Schizosaccharomyces pombe: one gene and its partners. The protein of the gene in region 2 binds, or shares a complex with, the protein of the main gene of each other region. Each region holds a gene or a part of one and is shown on either strand. Other genes may lie near its edges.

Region 1 (5,027 bases), on a different chromosome or scaffold from region 2:
TAGGGAAAGGATAAATTCTACTTTTCCTGGATGTTGACAAAGTATTCTAAGCCATTGATTGTTACCCACTGTAAAGTACATTGAGAAAGCAACGCTAAATAGATATTGTGCAACAGAAAAAATTGTAATAATTGTATTGCATAACTCATTTTATTTAAATTATGAATCACTATCGTATATAGCGTAATTTTGCTTTAAACGCTATTTCAAATCTATGGTAAAACTAGATGAACTAACGTTGCTGCGAAAGTTCATAGATTGCTTATAAACCTATTTCTTTAACTAAAAGGATGTATTTTAACTTTATTTTACTGAGCCAAAGTCCATTCGTTGACGGTGTTGAAATTATTCTACAGCTTGGTCATTGACAAATTTCATTTTCTCTGATAATTCATTTAATAATTTGTATCAAAAAAAAATAGATTCTTGAGAAAGATTAACATAAAAGATAAAATTACCCTACATTTCTGTACTCAAATCGATATGTTCTAACTTTGAAAGGGTTTCACAATATATGAATAACCGTATATTGGTACAATTTAATCCTATTATAGGTAAAAAACCTCACATAGAGACAATAAATAATTATTATTTTTTGTTATATTGTCGAGAATAGAAGCATGTAATGAATGCAATATCTCGTTATTTCCAAAGAGTCAACTGCTAAGTGAGTTCCAACAGAATTAACAGGCAGAAGCAAGATACTGATGTCTTCAACGATCACAAGATAAAAGGAAGGTGTATTTTTTACAAAAAATTTCGCTGTCAGCTTGCTCCACAAAATGCAATTTGCACTCTTCATTTTTCACAACTCTTCAATGTCAAAAAGTAGTAACAGCCTAAAAATACGAGCTAGTGTTTTTATTATTCAAGGTAGATCAAAAAGAGTATAATTTCCGGCTATCTTGAAAATGATTCACGCTAGCTAAAAGTATGCGATGATGACTAATTAATGATGACCTGCATCATTTCGATTCTACACACTTTAAACATCATTTTCTAATGCTTCTAGCGTCGTCAAGTTAGGACCTGGCCTAATAAAAACATCTGAAAAATCTTCGTTGCTTGTAAGCTCTAAATTATGTTCATTCGCCAAATGTAAAACACAAATAAAGGCAAAACTGGTGGATATATCTTTGAGTTCTTTTTTCTCGTATGTCTCCTCTAATTGATTGACAGTGGAAAAAAAAGATTTGACTGGCATGTTGGTTTCTTCTGACTCCATCTCCGAACCCTCAATATGAGAGTTGATGGAATTTTCTTTAATTGTGTTTTCAAGATCTAGACATTTCCATAGCTTTTCTTTCAGTACTCGCACATCAACCTTTTTAGCACGCTTCGCATAATTCAGCATATCTGGTTTTGCCAAACGAGCAGTTAACAAAAGGTTATCACCAAATCCTGATGATGATGGAGGTGTAAGCAGAGGTGTTTGCTTAGGGCTATCGGAATCTCCAAATCCATACGGGGGTATTCCTTCATCAACATTATCACTGCCATCAGAATCGAATCCATGGGGTTGAATACCGTCCAAATCATTCTCATCATCTAAGGCTTTATTCAGTTGTAGCTGTCCTTCTCCATCAGCGTTGGGTAGAACTGACATCTTTGGTTTCAAGAAAAGCTGTAAAAGCCTCTTAGAATCATATTGGTAGTCATCAGGTAGTAAACATCGATTATGTCTTTTCCAATGAGACTTGGGAAGCTTGAGACTGCTGGTTGCAGGAGTGAACAGTGCTTCGACGTCTACTTCCTGCAAGAAATCAATGGCGTTATCAAGTTCTCGACGCTTTTTCCGTTCCGTGGAAGAAAGAGAACGCGATACATTATCTGAACTTTCAGCCGTATTGGAAGAGTTGAATACAGTTGATGCGTTATTGATATTTTTTCTCAATGCCTGAATGCGCCAATGTTCGGGTCCAGCCCAGTTCTTTTTCATTGACTTGTCAAAATATTCGTATACTCCATTCGCAGCGGCAGTAGAAATAATAGAATAATTTTCATTCATAGTACTTCCATCAGCCATATTGACTTCAGTATCCACACCAAAATCTGGATTTTCGGATTCGTCCATTGCTTTTGGTACTACATCAACATATGGGTTCTCCTCATCGTAAGCCATTTCCTCCAAAGCATGCACAATATGTCCTTCTTCACCATCGGAATCGGAAGAAAGGGAAGCTGCATCAGCATCAGTTTTCTCCATCGTATTATCCACTAAGGAGGTTGTCGTTATCATGTTAACTTCATCACTTAATGATTTTAAGAGAGAGACATCAAGATTCCCTTTACTATCAAATTCAAAGCCCTGTAAGGAGGGACATATTGTCAACTGATCAATATCGGTAAAATAGCATTTGTAAATACCATTCAAGGTCTCCCTAGAAATATTGTCATGCACATTAGTCATTTCTGTGTCATGGCTTTCGATAGGCGCTGCGACTACCGCTTCCTGCGATTCAGCTTCAACATCTTTATTTTCCAAATCCTTGATGACAGTATCGCTAGAATCGAATACAATTCGTCCATGTTGATCAACACAAAGATGATTCATTAATAAGCCTTTAGCACCATCCTCATCAAAATCTGCACACATTTTCTTGAATAAAGGATCAAAAGAACATTCTAACTCAAATTTTTTAGCGCGTATTGACTCGAAATCTTTAACGAGAGTCTTTACCGAACGTTGTGCACGCTTTCTCTCTTTCTTTTTCTGTAGATCCTCATCATCATTTTCAGCATCTTCGCCTTCTTCCGTTTGCTGCAATACTTTGGAATCGTTTGCCAATCCACTGAGTAGCTTGCCGGTCTCAGTAGCAACAGAATCAATACGCGAAGTATAAATTTTCACGCATCCGTCTAATGTACAGCTTGCCTTTTGGAAATTTATATCTTCACCATCACGTAGAAGCGACATGTCGTGAAAATAGTCAATAAGCGCAAAATTCCAGGTATTTGTGGAATTAATTTTGTTGTCAGTAGCTAATTTAATCCATTCCTCAAAATTAGAAAGAACAGGAACCTGATGAGAGCTATTAAATGGTGAAGAATTGTTTAGAGATTCTCTTCTTGGCGTTATTGAGTGCAGAGCTGAACTTCTTCGCAACTCGCGCTGCTTACGGCTGTTCTCTTTAGCTCTTTTTTTTTCTAATGCATCGTCATTTAAGGAGGGTAAGCTAACGGGCGCATGCCCGCCTAAACTAGCTCTTTTCATTGATTTAAGTAAATGTTTATGTTCACAAGTGGTAAGTCGGTGTGCCTATACGTATATCGCGCTTTAACGATATGCCGTATATTTCTTTCTAATCAACAAATGATAAAGATTCAAATAAGTTTCTAAATAAATGCCAATATGATAACATTATTTTTCTTTTGAAATTTGTTTTCAAATAATATAGTATTTCCCAATTTACTTCATTGATGGCTTCCCGATTACAAAGTCAAAAGTCTTTTGTTTATTATTCTGTTACAAATTTTGTGAAGTTTCAATTATTATAAATCTTCCATATAAAATTAACAAGGTAATACCAAATCAAGTTTGGATCCTAAAATTCAGTAGCTATCAAGTTTTAAGAGAATTTTATTTTTCGTTTTCGTTTATTTAAACTTGAACTTCGTAGTATTGTGGAGCAAATGGATATATCTAAGACAGTATATCTCTTAACATTTTACTTCTAAATCACTCCTGAATGCAATCCACTGAATGGTATGCGCATTTATCCTGACTCTCAAAATATTCAACCAATATCAAATGCAGACGATGTAAGACAGAAAATTGATTCTATTCTATATTAAAAAATAAAAAGCATTAGTGTACCATCAGATATAATGCGTGCTTTTTAAACGAACTATTATAATTGTACAGCTGCCCATATATTCATGTACCATCAATTCTCCAAGAGCATCATTGTCTAGTTTAAATAGCCACGACATGTTGGAGCACCACACAAACAAGGAATCTTATCAGCTTCTTCCGGAAACTTGTAATCATAAGTAAGTTCCTCTCCATGCATAATATCCCTGTCAGCATAAATTACGATTTTTCTTTTCCCTTCAACTCTAATAATCCTAGCTATACAATTAGGAGCGCATGAATGATTGATGAAACGCGCGATATTTCCCTTTTTTGTAGCATCAACGATAACATCCTCGTCAATACGGAACAAATAACTGTCTCCAATACCTTCACGAACGTAGTTCTTTTCACGATTATCAGCCACCCGTTGTCGAATGATTTCTCCAATATACTCTATGACCATATCATTTTTATCAATGTTTTCCATGGCAAAAAGCCCTAATGTATGAATGCGACTAGGGCCAAAATGTAATTGCTTTTTACGAGCCTTTAGTGCATTGAATCTGAGCAAGTCAGCTTCGGCTGGCAATTGAGACTTTTCAACTCCAGCAGCCAATCTTCTATTGTTAACACGATTCATTCGTGATGTGATACGGCTTGTAGAATGACTAATAGTATCGATGGTTGATCGATTACGAAGTGGTAGATATAGTGATTTTTCGGTAGTTGGAATAATATAGTATCCCTCACTTTTAGCAGAACCGCTAGTATTAGAGCGAAAATAACCTTTAGGTTCTGGAAGAATAGCCGTATCTCCATACTTAACATCCCCATTCTTAAATTTACATGACTTGCGTTCATAAGCCCAGAAATTGGGATCGTTGATATCCATGAGGGGTTCATCCTTGAGTGCCTCTTGAAGATATGAGTAATCTTCGTCATTTTTTACCAAGTACTGTAGACCATCCAAGTCAAGAAGTACATCGTCTTCTGGATAATTGTAAGGAAGTGCACCATAATAAACGCTTCCAGTTTCATCAAACTCATTAATACGCCATTTGGGAGCTAAAGCTAAAACTTCATCAATCTCTTTCTTAGGCGATATGAGTTCATCTTTTATGGCGCTACCTGATTTTGGAATCGCAGCACTAGGAGAAAGTATTGATGCATCTGATTCGGTTTCGCTGGACGAAGTATAGTCAACTTCCATCTTTTCATATTTTTTCTTTGA
Region 2 (6,008 bases):
TCTAATTCATTGTATATTCTAGCAGGACTACTTGTCGCGTAAATTTTTTTTATAGCAACGTACTTCGGTTTCCGGCTGTCTTCATTAACAGGAATTTTTTCTTTTCCAAAAGAAGATTCCTTTAACACTTCACTTTGAATGTCCCAATCATTAATATACCTCCCATAATGTAGGTCTTCCGCTTTATATACACTGGAGAACGTACCTAAACGAATTAGCAAGATAGTTTCAAAACAGTACTAAAAACGGTAATTGAAGTTTACCTTCTCCAATTTTTTCAATTAGCCGATAGTTCTCTTGTAGCTCTACGAACGTCCTTGTGATATTTTCAATTTCTTCGCGGTCTCGTGCAGGGATATCTTGAATCATTTCTTGAGATTTGTTTTCGTTTACATTTTCATCGTCCACCTCAGTGATTTCACATTCAGAATCAATATCTGTTTGTTGTTCATGAGTTACTTTAGGTGATAGTGTGATATGGGCCTCTGCCATGTTAACGGTTTAACTCATATATTTTTAAACCAAATAATAACTTAAAAAAAATTAAAAGAGTCGTCAATTAAATGGTAAAATGCTGCCAAGGGAAGGAACCAAGAAAAAACAAATTTTCACGTATTTTAAACCTTCAAACCGAACACGCGAACGAATACTAAGATTCAAAAAAATCAAGTTTTTAAAATGTGTAACACAAACTCATTCCATGAATATAAGAATTTGCAGATTCCAGGTTCAACACCAGTTGTACATTGTTAAGCAAAATGCTCTTCTAATGAGGGACATTGTTACTTCCAAACAAGAAAAATACATTTTTAATCCAACTTTTGTTTAATAAAAAAAGTACTCTGCTATAATATTTGTATACTTATGGAAAAGATTAAGATTTCATGTCCTTTATCTTTTTTTAAATTTAGGACTTGCTTTAAAAAACATAAATCCTTTGGGCTCTTGTTATTGTTAATAACCACCATAAACAACTAGAATTGACTATTTATTGGACATTGAGAGTAAATATGATTAACCATGGTATTCAAACACGTTTTTTTTTTCTGTTATTTAAAAATAAATAAAAAAATTATCCTGAATTTGAAATTTATTCCTAGTTAAACTACGATAGGTTTTCTGTTTAGTTTATTGTGTATTACTTTAAAATTCTAAAAACAGCACAAATGCTTACCTCGTCAAAATTTGCATTCATAATAATTTTGAAAATCACCTTGAAAATGATACATGCGCCAAAATAAATTATAAGTTTTTATATCAGAAATACAGCTCAAGAAAGAATTTACAACTAACGTTATTCAAAAAATATATTAAATTCTTTTCAAAACATTTAATTAGAAGTACTAAAAAGAACAATAGCTTTTACGTGGCACGCTCAATAAAAGTTAATTAAAATATTATTTTTTAATGTAAACAAATGAGTTAATAAAAGCACGTTCTATATCCTTAAAGTGGTTAGCAACAATTAAGTCTAGCTCCTATTTTATATTTTGACTAACCGTAGCTCTTTTTTGTTAGTAAGAAAGTATAAATGGACCCCCACACAGGACATATAGGTGGGGTTATTGTTTACAAGGACTACTAGAATGTAGTACGCCAAATCCATCTTTTATTTCATTCGTAACATAGAAAGATTCGGCTTTCAGTGGCCTCAATGTCGTTGGATCTTCTTTCTAGATTAAAGAAATACATTCATGATGAAGAAAATTCCGACTTGGACTCGATTTATGCTGAATGTGAAAATGCTGGATTGACAGCCGTGGTTAACGGTATGGACATTTGGGTTTTTAAAAAAATTGAAAATGATCGATTCCACAATAACTAACAATGAAAAATTAGACGTCATTGATACCCTTTTATTAGGAACGAGTTCTTGTTTCGACGAGGATTGCTTGGAAAAACTCTTTGCTATATGTTCGTAAGTAGTTGTTATTTTGTGTTATTCAAATAGAAGGAAGCCATTTGGTTTACTATATATCAATTTTACCAAACTAACAATAATGGTTTAGACACTTTGCTGACCTCTCTTCCTCTGTAAGGAATAAAGTATATGATTTACTCACGAGTAATATCAGCTCTGAATCCGCTATTCTTGAAGATATGATTTCCGCAAATGCTACTGATTTTACTGTACCTCAAACGAATTTAGAAACTACAGGCATTGCATTTCAGCTCACGGTCAATTCCCTTTCTTCCTCAAATCAACTTTCAGTTATTCGGTCATCCACTAATACTGTTAAGGGAAGAAAAAAAAATCCAACTACTAACTCTAACTGGAATGGTATCTCACATGTAAATGCTTTGTTAGATGCAATCATAACATTATTTCAAAAAAAATTATCTCGTGTATGGACTACTTCTTCGGAAAGAGACATGTTTCTTTCACTTTTCCTAAAACCAATATACACGTTAATGGAAAGTGAAATTAACATAAAAAATGCTTCTTTCCGTTCTCGTTTATTTAATATTATCGGGCTTGCTGTTCAATTCCATAACCATACCACTGCAGCGGAGACAAATATTATTCAAAATTTACAATACTTTGAGCATTTATCTGAGTATGCTGCTGATCTTGTTCATATTGTTACCGTTCAGTTTAATTCCGTTACCTTGGCTGAAGGAATTATTCGAACATTGTGCTCTCTAGAATTTAATGATAACGATGTTAAAGGTCCCAAGCAAGTCGCTTTGTTTCTTGTCCGTCTTTCTTCACTTATTCCAAACTTATGTTTGAAACAGCTTACTCAATTAGTTAAGCTGCTTGATTCGGAATCATATACTCTGAGATGCGCTATCATAGAAGTACTTGCTAATGTGGTCATTGATCAAATTCATGATGAGGCTCAAAATGAAATGTCAGAGTCAGTGCCAGCAACTGTTCAAAGCTTAATGGATCTTCTCAGTGAGCGATTACTAGATATAAGCCCTTACTGTCGTACTAAAGTACTTCACGTCTTTATCAAAATATTTGATTTACCAATTAAGTATCCCAGAAAACGTCAAGAAATCGCGGAACTCGTGATCAGATGTTTGCAAGATCGGTCAAGTCATGTCCGCCGAAATGCAATTAAGTTATTTTCTAAACTTTTAACTACCCATCCTTTTTCAGTTATGCACAATGGCTTACTAACCAGAAATATTTGGGAGAAAGGATTATCTATCATCGAGGAACAGCTTAATTCTTTACAACCAAAGCAACAAGAAAAGGTGGTAGATTCAGAGCTTGAAGTCGATGAAAACTTATTAGAGGATGCTACTATGATCCAAGATGATGAGTCACATGAAGGAGAAAGTCACTTGGAAAATTCTCTAAGCGAATATGTCGATTCTGTTCCTGCTGAGGAAATAGTCAAAGTGAATTTAACGAAACGGTTTTATTTAGAAGCACTCCAATATATAGACATTGTGGAAGCGGGAGCAAAAATAATAAGCCAGTTGTTGTTTGCTAAAAATAAGAGCGAGGTAATTGAGTCAATGGATTTCTTTGTTTTTTGCAATTCTTTTGGAATTTCGTCTTCAAAATTATATATAAAAAAAATGATTCATTTAATTTGGGTAAAAGGAACCTCCGACGAAGGGAACAACATTCAGAACCATGTATTGTCATGTTATAAAACATTATTTTTTGAGCCACCTCCGAACTCTGGTACCAACGAAGCCGCAAACTATATTGCGAGAAATCTTATTTCATTAACATATGATGCTAGCCTTGCTGAGCTTACATCACTTGAACAGATGCTTTGCATTTTGATGAAAGATGGGTATTTTTCACATCTAGTCATAACAAAACTATGGCAAGTATACAGTTATCAAAAGAAGGATATATCTCGAACACAACGTAGAGGATCCATCATAGTAATTGGAATGCTAGCATTAGGCAATACCGATGTTGTCATGCAGGGCTTGGATCATCTTATTCAAATAGGACTTGGTCCCCCTGGTTTGGAGGATTTAGTTCTTGCAAGGTACACATGTATAGCGATTAAACGTATTGGCAAAGATGCGTCTGGTTCTTCTAATATTAATTTTCCAAATTCGCATACGCTTTGTCAAAAATTATGTATGCTTTTACTTCGACCATCGTTCTCTGAAGAGTGGTTTGGGTTAGAAGAGCAAGCTATTGAGGCTATATATGCAGTTGCCAAACATCCTGACGAACTTTGTACCAACATTATTTTGCTTTTGACGAAACAACTCTTCAAACCTTCCAATCATGAGAATACTACCAGTAACGATGATCATGCAATGGACGAAGATTTAGATGATTCTCCAGAAGAAGAAACATTAAAAGATGAGGAAGAAATAGGTATACGACTGGCGCACTTAATATTTTTAGTAGGCCATGTCGCGATTAAACAATTAGTCTATATCGAATATTGTGAGGCAGAGTTCAAACGGCGAAAAGCGGACGCCGAGAGATTGGCCGTACAGAACTCAAATAATCCTATAAATGGGCAAGAAACTTCTGAATATGATTTAATTACGGGAACAAGTGAAGATGATTTTTCAGAAGCAATGACATTTATTCGTGAAAGGGAGTTGCTCTATGGTGAGAATTCTTTACTTTCGAGATTTGCTCCATTGGTAGTAGAATTGTGCTCAAATCATAAATCGCACAATAATCAAAGCCTTTTACTAGCTGCTTCTCTGACTTTGTCCAAATTTATGTGTCTTTCTAACAATTTTTGTATGGAACATCTTCCATTGTTAATAACCATTCTGGAGAAATGTGATAATCCGATTATTCGAAACAACTTAGTAATCGGGTTAGCAGATTTAACTGTTTGTTTCAATCATTTTATTGATGAAATATCCGAATACTTATATAGAAGACTGATGGATGAAGAGTCTTCTGTCAAAAAGACATGCTTTATGACTCTAGCATTTTTGATTTTAGCTGGTCAAATAAAAGTAAAGGGCCAGCTGGGTATTATGGCTCGTTCTTTGGAAGACGAAGATGCTCGAATTTCTGATCTTGCTCGAATGTTTTTTACTGATTTTGCAGCCAAGGATAATTCTGTATATAATAACTTTATTGATATCTTCAGTGTATTATCTAGAAGTGCAGAGGAGCAGGATGAGGACGACGCTAAGTTTAAGCGTATCATTCGTTTCTTGACGTCCTTTATTGAAAAAGAAAGACATACCAAGCAATTAGCCGAACGTCTGGCTGCTCGTCTTGATCGGTGTAAAACTCAACGTCAATGGGATCATGTGGTGTATGCACTTTCTTTGCTTCCTCATAAAGCCGATAATATTCAAAAGCTCATTGACGATGGATATCATGAATAAAGTCAATTCTAATGCTTTATCTTACATATTCAAAATCCTTTGTATATTAGTATTGCCTAATTAAAAAGAAGAATGACGGTATACCTTTTTTATAACGAATTGAATGTTAATAACTATAACTTCATTGATCTACAACACCCATTATTTGCAACAATTAAACAATTCAAGCGCAAGTTAAGGTAATTTAGTTATTAGCTAAGTAATTTGCACATTCTAGCTGGGTCATTAATTATTTTTTGTGCTTATGAAGAAGATTTAACTTTACCCTAGAAAACTATTCACCTTCATTAACTGCTAAGTAAAACTGAGGAACTCTTCTCAATTTTAGGCTGTATCAAATATTGGTAAATTACATACTTGAACAGAGATCATTTTTTGGAACTGTCATCATCCTCTCAGGCTAGAAGTTTTGATAATAAATATAATCGGCATATACTGAGTATAAGTGCATTGTAACGTAACTCAGTTTAACTAGAAATAAGGTATTTCAAACTTTTAGACACTAAATCAAAATACAATTGTAGAAGGAAACCGATATTAAACGTGTTTCTAAAGCAACTTAACGCTCACTTCGTTATCACTCCTGCTGTAGAACTATGACAGTAAGGACTTCGCTTACTTATCGAATGTTTGGCAGTTGCTGCTCAAGCAATTCATATTTTAAAGTTAACTATGGCGTCTTCCAAGAAGAGCAAAACTCATAAGAAAAAGAAAGA
Region 3 (6,047 bases), 320 kb from region 2:
GTGCTCTCAAAACAGGATGATTTTGAGGTACAAAAGCTTCTCGAACGTATATGGCCCAGCTTCTGGGCAATTGGTGGTCCGTTTGCGAATTATTATTTCTAGTTTCAGGTGCTTGTTGAGTGGAGGATCCATTATTATCGGAAATCCCATTTACGTCTGTAGCAGTAGAAGCTTGCTCGTCTTCGGAAATATGTTCTGCCTCATTAACATTTTCATTTGGCCCCGTATTATCACTAACGGACGTTGTCTGATTTTGCGAGTTAACAAGTGAAGATATCAAATCAGAAGGATGCATTAAAGTTGGGGAATCGGCACTTGGTTGATCATCTTCATCACTTCCTGAATTTCTTAGACTTCGGATGCCAACTATTATAATCGGGATTACTTCTTGACCTTCATGATTTCGGTGTAAATTGTCAAATCTAAAAGTTCGAAAAAGGTTTATAGGACCAGATTCTTCTTCAAGATCCACAGCATTTGCAATTAGTTCTGCAGTCCTAGGATTAGTTTCTGCGTTCATCGCCTGCACCAGATTACCAGCGTGCAAAAGCGATAAAAATTCATCGAAAGCAACATTTCCAGATTCCACATTTCCAGAAATTGAAGAAGGAAATTCTAAATTGTTTGATTGATGTGCACTCGAAGAATTCATCAGTACACTAACCCAACCAGACGCTACTGAAAACACAAATCGAGAAAGCATGACTAGTTGACTTTCTTCTGGAGAAACAGATGCTTGTTGAGTATTTTCACTATTATTAATATAGTTCATTACCGCACGAGTATAGTCCTCCATATTTGAGTCCGCTAGAGAAGTGACAGATCTTACCGGCAATCTTCCAATTGCAGTTCCCGGAGATTCTAAATTATTTACAGAGCCATGATCCTGCATTTCCTGTCCACCGCTCGAACTGACGTTTTCATCTTCATGATTCGATGCCAACGTAGACTGATTGTTTTGGGTATTTAAATTGCGTAAAGCAGCAATACTAGAACGAAATCTTCTAGCAGCACGTTCAAATTCCTGTTGGTGATTTTCAAGGATTAACCTGTCTGTTTGAGGTATTGCAGATGTTTGTGATTCGCCTTCTATACGAGAGCGAGGAGTAGCTGGTGTAGCTGGTGGACTTAACGACCTTAGAGAAGGAGAATTCCTATTCAAAAGCGAACCACGGTAGCGAGAACGAAAAGCCGATCTTTCAGTAGTTCTATCACGATTACCATTTTCCGAATTGCCTTCATCGTTACGATGCCGCTTTGCTCTTCGAAGACCTAAGACTCGCTGCAAAGAGGGAAAACGATTCCACAGCCTACTAAAGCCAGAATTTTGTCGATCTGAATCATTAATGTTTTCACTTTCTGATGAAACCGCCTGCATACTTGCGTCCCTTTGAATTTGCCGACTGGGAATGGATTCACCTTGCCCCATTTGTGTAGTGAGTGCAGTACTGATTATCAAATATAGTTAAATAACAGAAAAGATAAAATATATGTTTTAAATTAAAAAGAATTTAAACAAGTTACTTGAAAGTATTAAAATACATAAACTAATAAATCTAAAATGTTAATAGCGGTAAGCTTTTTGCATACTAAGCATCATTACGTAGTTTAACGTTGCGGTAAATGTTATTAGAGTAGTCGCACTCTTTTATATCTACTATGAAGTCTTATTTCACCTTTAATGCTTTAAACGACAAACAGCTTTAATCATTTTTACACTAAACAGCAAACAGTTCGGACTGAAATGTACTGCTGAAGATTTATCTCCCTCTAGGAAATACTTTACAAGTCAATCAGTTTTTTGAATTCTAGTCTTAAATACTTGGGCTTCAGTAAACAAACAGAACGAGAAATTTACTGAAGAAATGAAAATAGAGGAACTCATCATTGATGGTTTCAAATCATATGCTGTGCGAACTGTCATTAGCAATTGGGATGACCAATTTAATGCTATAACGGGCCTCAATGGGTCTGGAAAAAGTAATATATTAGATGCAATATGCTTTGTCTTGGGAATTACGAATATGTCGACTGTCCGTGCCCAGAATTTACAGGACTTAATTTACAAACGCGGACAGGCAGGAATAACCAGAGCTAGCGTTACCATTGTGTTTAATAATCGGGATCCTGCGTCTTCACCAATTGGTTTCGAGAATCACCCGCAAGTAAGCGTTACAAGACAAATTATCATGGGCGGTACAAGCAAATATTTGATTAATGGACATAGAGCTCTGCAACAGAATGTTCAAAATTTGTTCCAGTCTGTTCAGTTAAATATTAATAATCCTAATTTTTTAATTATGCAAGGTCGAATCACCAAGGTTCTTAATATGAAGGCTACTGAAATTTTATCAATGATTGAAGAAGCCTCTGGTACTCGAATGTTTGAAGAAAGGAAAGAAAAGGCTTTTCGAACAATGCAACGAAAAGAAGCAAAGGTTGAGGAGATTAATACACTGTTAAGAGAGGAAATCGAACCCCGACTTACCAAACTTCGTACAGAAAAAAAAACTTTTCTAGAATATCAACATATTTATAATGACTTGGAACGATTAAGCCATCTTTGTACTGCTTACGACTATTATAAGTTGTCACTTAAAGTGGAGGAATTAACGGTTCAAGCATCCCAGAAGCACAGCCATATCGCCGAGATGGAATCTTCATTACAAACATCGAAACAGGAGGTTTTAATACTAAAGGAAAAGATTAAAAAAATTGAAGATGAGCGAATGAGACAAATGAGTGTTTCTTCGGATCGTACCTTGGACTCTCAGTTACAAACTGTTAATGAAAACATCACCAGAATAAGCACGTCGATAGAATTAAAGAATACAGCTTTAGAGGAAGAGCATGGGGACCTTCAACAAATTCGTGGAAAAGCTAAGGAATTAGAAACTTTGTTGCGCGGAAAAAGGAAACGACTAGATGAAGTGCTTAGTGTATACGAAAAAAGGAAAGATGAACATCAAAGTATTTCAAAGGATTTCAAGTCTCAAGAAGAGCTAATTTCATCACTTACAACTGGTCTTTCCACTACAGAAGGTCATGAAACTGGCTATTCTAGAAAACTACACGAAGCTCGAGATACGTTGAATGACTTTAAAGCTGAAAAAGAAACCAATCGATTAAAGCTTGAAGGACTCAATAAACAAATATCTTTAACTAAACCTAAGAAGGCTGAGGCTACAAAACGATGTGATCAACTCAATCGCGAAATCGATATATTACAAAACCATGTTGAGAAGCTTAAAATGTCTTTAAAAAATACAAATTCCGACATTACAGGTGAAGATGTACTCCAGCAAAAGTTGAAGCAACTTGCTAAAGATCGCGGCAATTTGTTAAATGAACTTGATGCTTTAAAAAGCAAACTTGCTTATATGGAATTTACTTATACCGACCCTACTCCTAATTTTGATCGCTCAAAGGTGAAAGGATTGGTGGCTCAATTGCTAACCTTGAATGAAGAGAATTATGACAAGCAAACTGCATTAGAAATTACAGCTGGTGGCCGCCTTTATAATCTCATTGTTGAAACCGAGAAAATTGGTGCACAATTGCTTCAAAAAGGAAACCTGAAGAGGAGAGTTACTATTATTCCCCTCAACAAAATTACCAGCTTCGTAGCTTCAGCAGAGAGAGTAGGCGCAGCCAAAAAAATTTCTAATAATAAAGCCCAACTTGCTTTGGAATTAATCGGTTATGACGATGAGCTTTTGCCTGCAATGCAGTATGTTTTTGGCTCCACATTAGTCTGTGATACCCCTGAATCGGCAAAGAAAGTTACCTTTCATCCTTCAGTTAAATTAAAAAGTGTCACGCTTGATGGTGATGTTTATGACCCATCTGGTACCCTTACTGGTGGGTCTGTGAATAAATCTGCCGGTCCTTTACTACAGATACAAAAGCTGAACAGTCTGCAGCTAAAATTGCAAGTAGTTACTTCAGAATATGAAAAGTTGGAGACTCAACTTAAAGACTTAAAGACTCAAAATGCCAATTTTCATCGACTTGAGCAAGAAATTCAACTAAAGCAACATGAATTAACACTTTTGATAGAGCAAAGAGAGACCGACTCATCTTTTCGTCTTTTATCTGATTATCAGCAGTACAAAGACGACGTTAAAGATCTCAAGCAAAGGCTTCCTGAATTAGACAGACTTATATTGCAAAGTGACCAAGCTATAAAAAAAATTGAACGAGACATGCAAGAATGGAAACATAACAAGGGATCAAAAATGGCTGAATTGGAAAAGGAGTTTAATCAATACAAGCACAAGTTAGACGAGTTTACTCCTATATTGGAAAAGTCCGAGAATGACTATAATGGCGTTAAACTCGAATGTGAACAATTAGAAGGCGAATTGCAAAACCATCAGCAATCTCTCGTACAAGGTGAATCGACCACGAGTTTAATAAAGACGGAAATTGCAGAACTTGAGCTGTCACTTGTTAATGAGGAGCATAATCGAAAGAAACTCACCGAACTAATAGAAATTGAAAGCGCCAAGTTTTCTGGACTTAACAAAGAGATAGATTCACTCAGTACCTCAATGAAAACATTCGAATCTGAAATAAACAATGGGGAGCTAACAATTCAAAAGCTGAACCACGAGTTTGACCGATTAGAGCGAGAAAAATCAGTTGCTATAACTGCTATTAATCATTTGGAAAAGGAAAATGATTGGATAGATGGACAGAAACAGCACTTTGGTAAGCAAGGAACCATTTTCGATTTTCACTCTCAAAACATGCGTCAGTGTAGAGAGCAGTTACATAATTTGAAACCGCGATTTGCTAGTATGCGTAAAGCTATTAATCCCAAGGTTATGGACATGATTGACGGTGTAGAAAAGAAAGAAGCCAAATTGCGCTCTATGATAAAGACCATTCATCGCGATAAGAAAAAGATCCAAGATACTGTCAAAAGTATTGATCGGTTTAAAAGGAGTGCCTTAGAAAAAACCTGGAGAGAAGTCAATTCTTCTTTCGGTGAAATTTTTGACGAACTACTTCCTGGTAATAGTGCAGAACTACAGCCACCAGAGAATAAAGAATTCACTGATGGATTGGAAATTCATGTAAAAATTGGGTCAATTTGGAAAGATAGTCTGGCAGAACTTAGTGGTGGACAAAGGTCTCTAGTTGCATTGGCTCTTATTATGTCTCTACTTAAATATAAGCCTGCTCCAATGTACATTTTAGATGAAATTGACGCGGCGCTCGATTTAAGTCATACCCAAAACATTGGAAGACTTATTAAAACAAAGTTTAAAGGTTCTCAGTTTATTATTGTTAGCCTTAAAGAAGGAATGTTTACCAATGCTAATCGACTATTTCATGTACGATTTATGGACGGATCATCTGTGGTACAAGCTCGCTAATTTGAACGTAAACACTTGAATTATACGCGCATGTATAGTCCTACTATTTACTATCACCGATGTCTTAATTTATTTAAAGAATATTTCTACCAATCATTAAAAACAAGACTTTTGGTTCTTTAAAGTTGTTTGTGCCGCTAATGAAACTTAGACTACGGTATGTATCATATGTATAAAATATCGTAAACTCATCATTTCCAAATTTATTATTAGCGTCGATGTCATTTGTAGCATATTCAAAAATATTTAGGGTAGGGTTTTAAAATTTTGATCGATACAGGATGTTTCTGTGGTTATGTATTTAGCCTCAACATCATATAAAATTGGTGCGACAGCCGCAATTAAGTTATTATTTGTATGCTTTTTTGCTAATAAATATCCTAAAAGTGTAACTGGAGCAACTAGCTAGTACGTGTTTTGGGAATTACACTCACAGCGCACATATAGCATTGGAAGTTCTTTGTATGACTATATTCTAAAATGTCTCCTACCCTTGTTGTTGATCAAGAGAATTCGGAAGAATTTAACACCTCCTCATTTGAAGGTCCTGAAAAATTGCTGGAACTATGGTTTTCGGCTCCTATAAAAACCAATTTAAGTGCGGGTGAAAAGGCTAACTTGGGACTAAAAGCTGTTTCTCGCAATGATTGGGATGATATGCTA

What was found. The genes of interacting proteins can lie anywhere in the genome.
Region 1: cnd1 (region 2) and cnd2 share a complex: the UniProt entries of both Schizosaccharomyces pombe proteins name them as parts of the condensin complex.
Region 3: cnd1 (region 2) and cut14 share a complex: the UniProt entries of both Schizosaccharomyces pombe proteins name them as parts of the condensin complex.

The regions. Positions count from the first base shown.
Region 1 is NC_003421.2:408,854-413,880, forward strand, and holds cnd2 (condensin complex non-SMC subunit Cnd2), read right to left. Parts: upstream 3,239-5,027; 5' UTR 3,215-3,238; coding exon 986-3,214; 3' UTR 501-985; downstream 1-500. Other genes in the region: histone H3-K4 methyltransferase Set1, read right to left, coding at 3,912-5,027. UniProt on the Schizosaccharomyces pombe protein: Regulatory subunit of the condensin complex, a complex required for conversion of interphase chromatin into mitotic-like condense chromosomes.
Region 2 is NC_003423.3:3,198,484-3,204,491, forward strand, and holds cnd1 (condensin complex non-SMC subunit Cnd1), read left to right. Parts: upstream 1-1,604; 5' UTR 1,605-1,654; coding exon 1,655-1,769; exon of another isoform or gene 1,770-1,839; coding exon 1,840-1,918; exon of another isoform or gene 1,919-1,943; intron 1,944-2,009; coding exon 2,010-5,292; 3' UTR 5,293-5,503; downstream 5,504-6,008. Other genes in the region: Dbf4(Dfp1)-dependent protein kinase Hsk1, read right to left, coding at 1-205, 264-492; phospholipid--diacylglycerol acyltransferase Plh1, read left to right, coding at 5,965-6,008. UniProt on the Schizosaccharomyces pombe protein: Regulatory subunit of the condensin complex, a complex required for conversion of interphase chromatin into mitotic-like condense chromosomes.
Region 3 is NC_003423.3:2,877,187-2,883,233, reverse strand, and holds cut14 (condensin complex SMC subunit Smc2), read left to right. Parts: upstream 1-1,865; coding exon 1,866-5,384; 3' UTR 5,385-5,547; downstream 5,548-6,047. Other genes in the region: SPOM_SPBP4H10.07 (ubiquitin-protein ligase E3), read right to left, coding at 1-1,429; S-adenosylmethionine decarboxylase proenzyme Spe2, read left to right, coding at 5,865-6,047. UniProt on the Schizosaccharomyces pombe protein: Central component of the condensin complex, a complex required for conversion of interphase chromatin into mitotic-like condense chromosomes.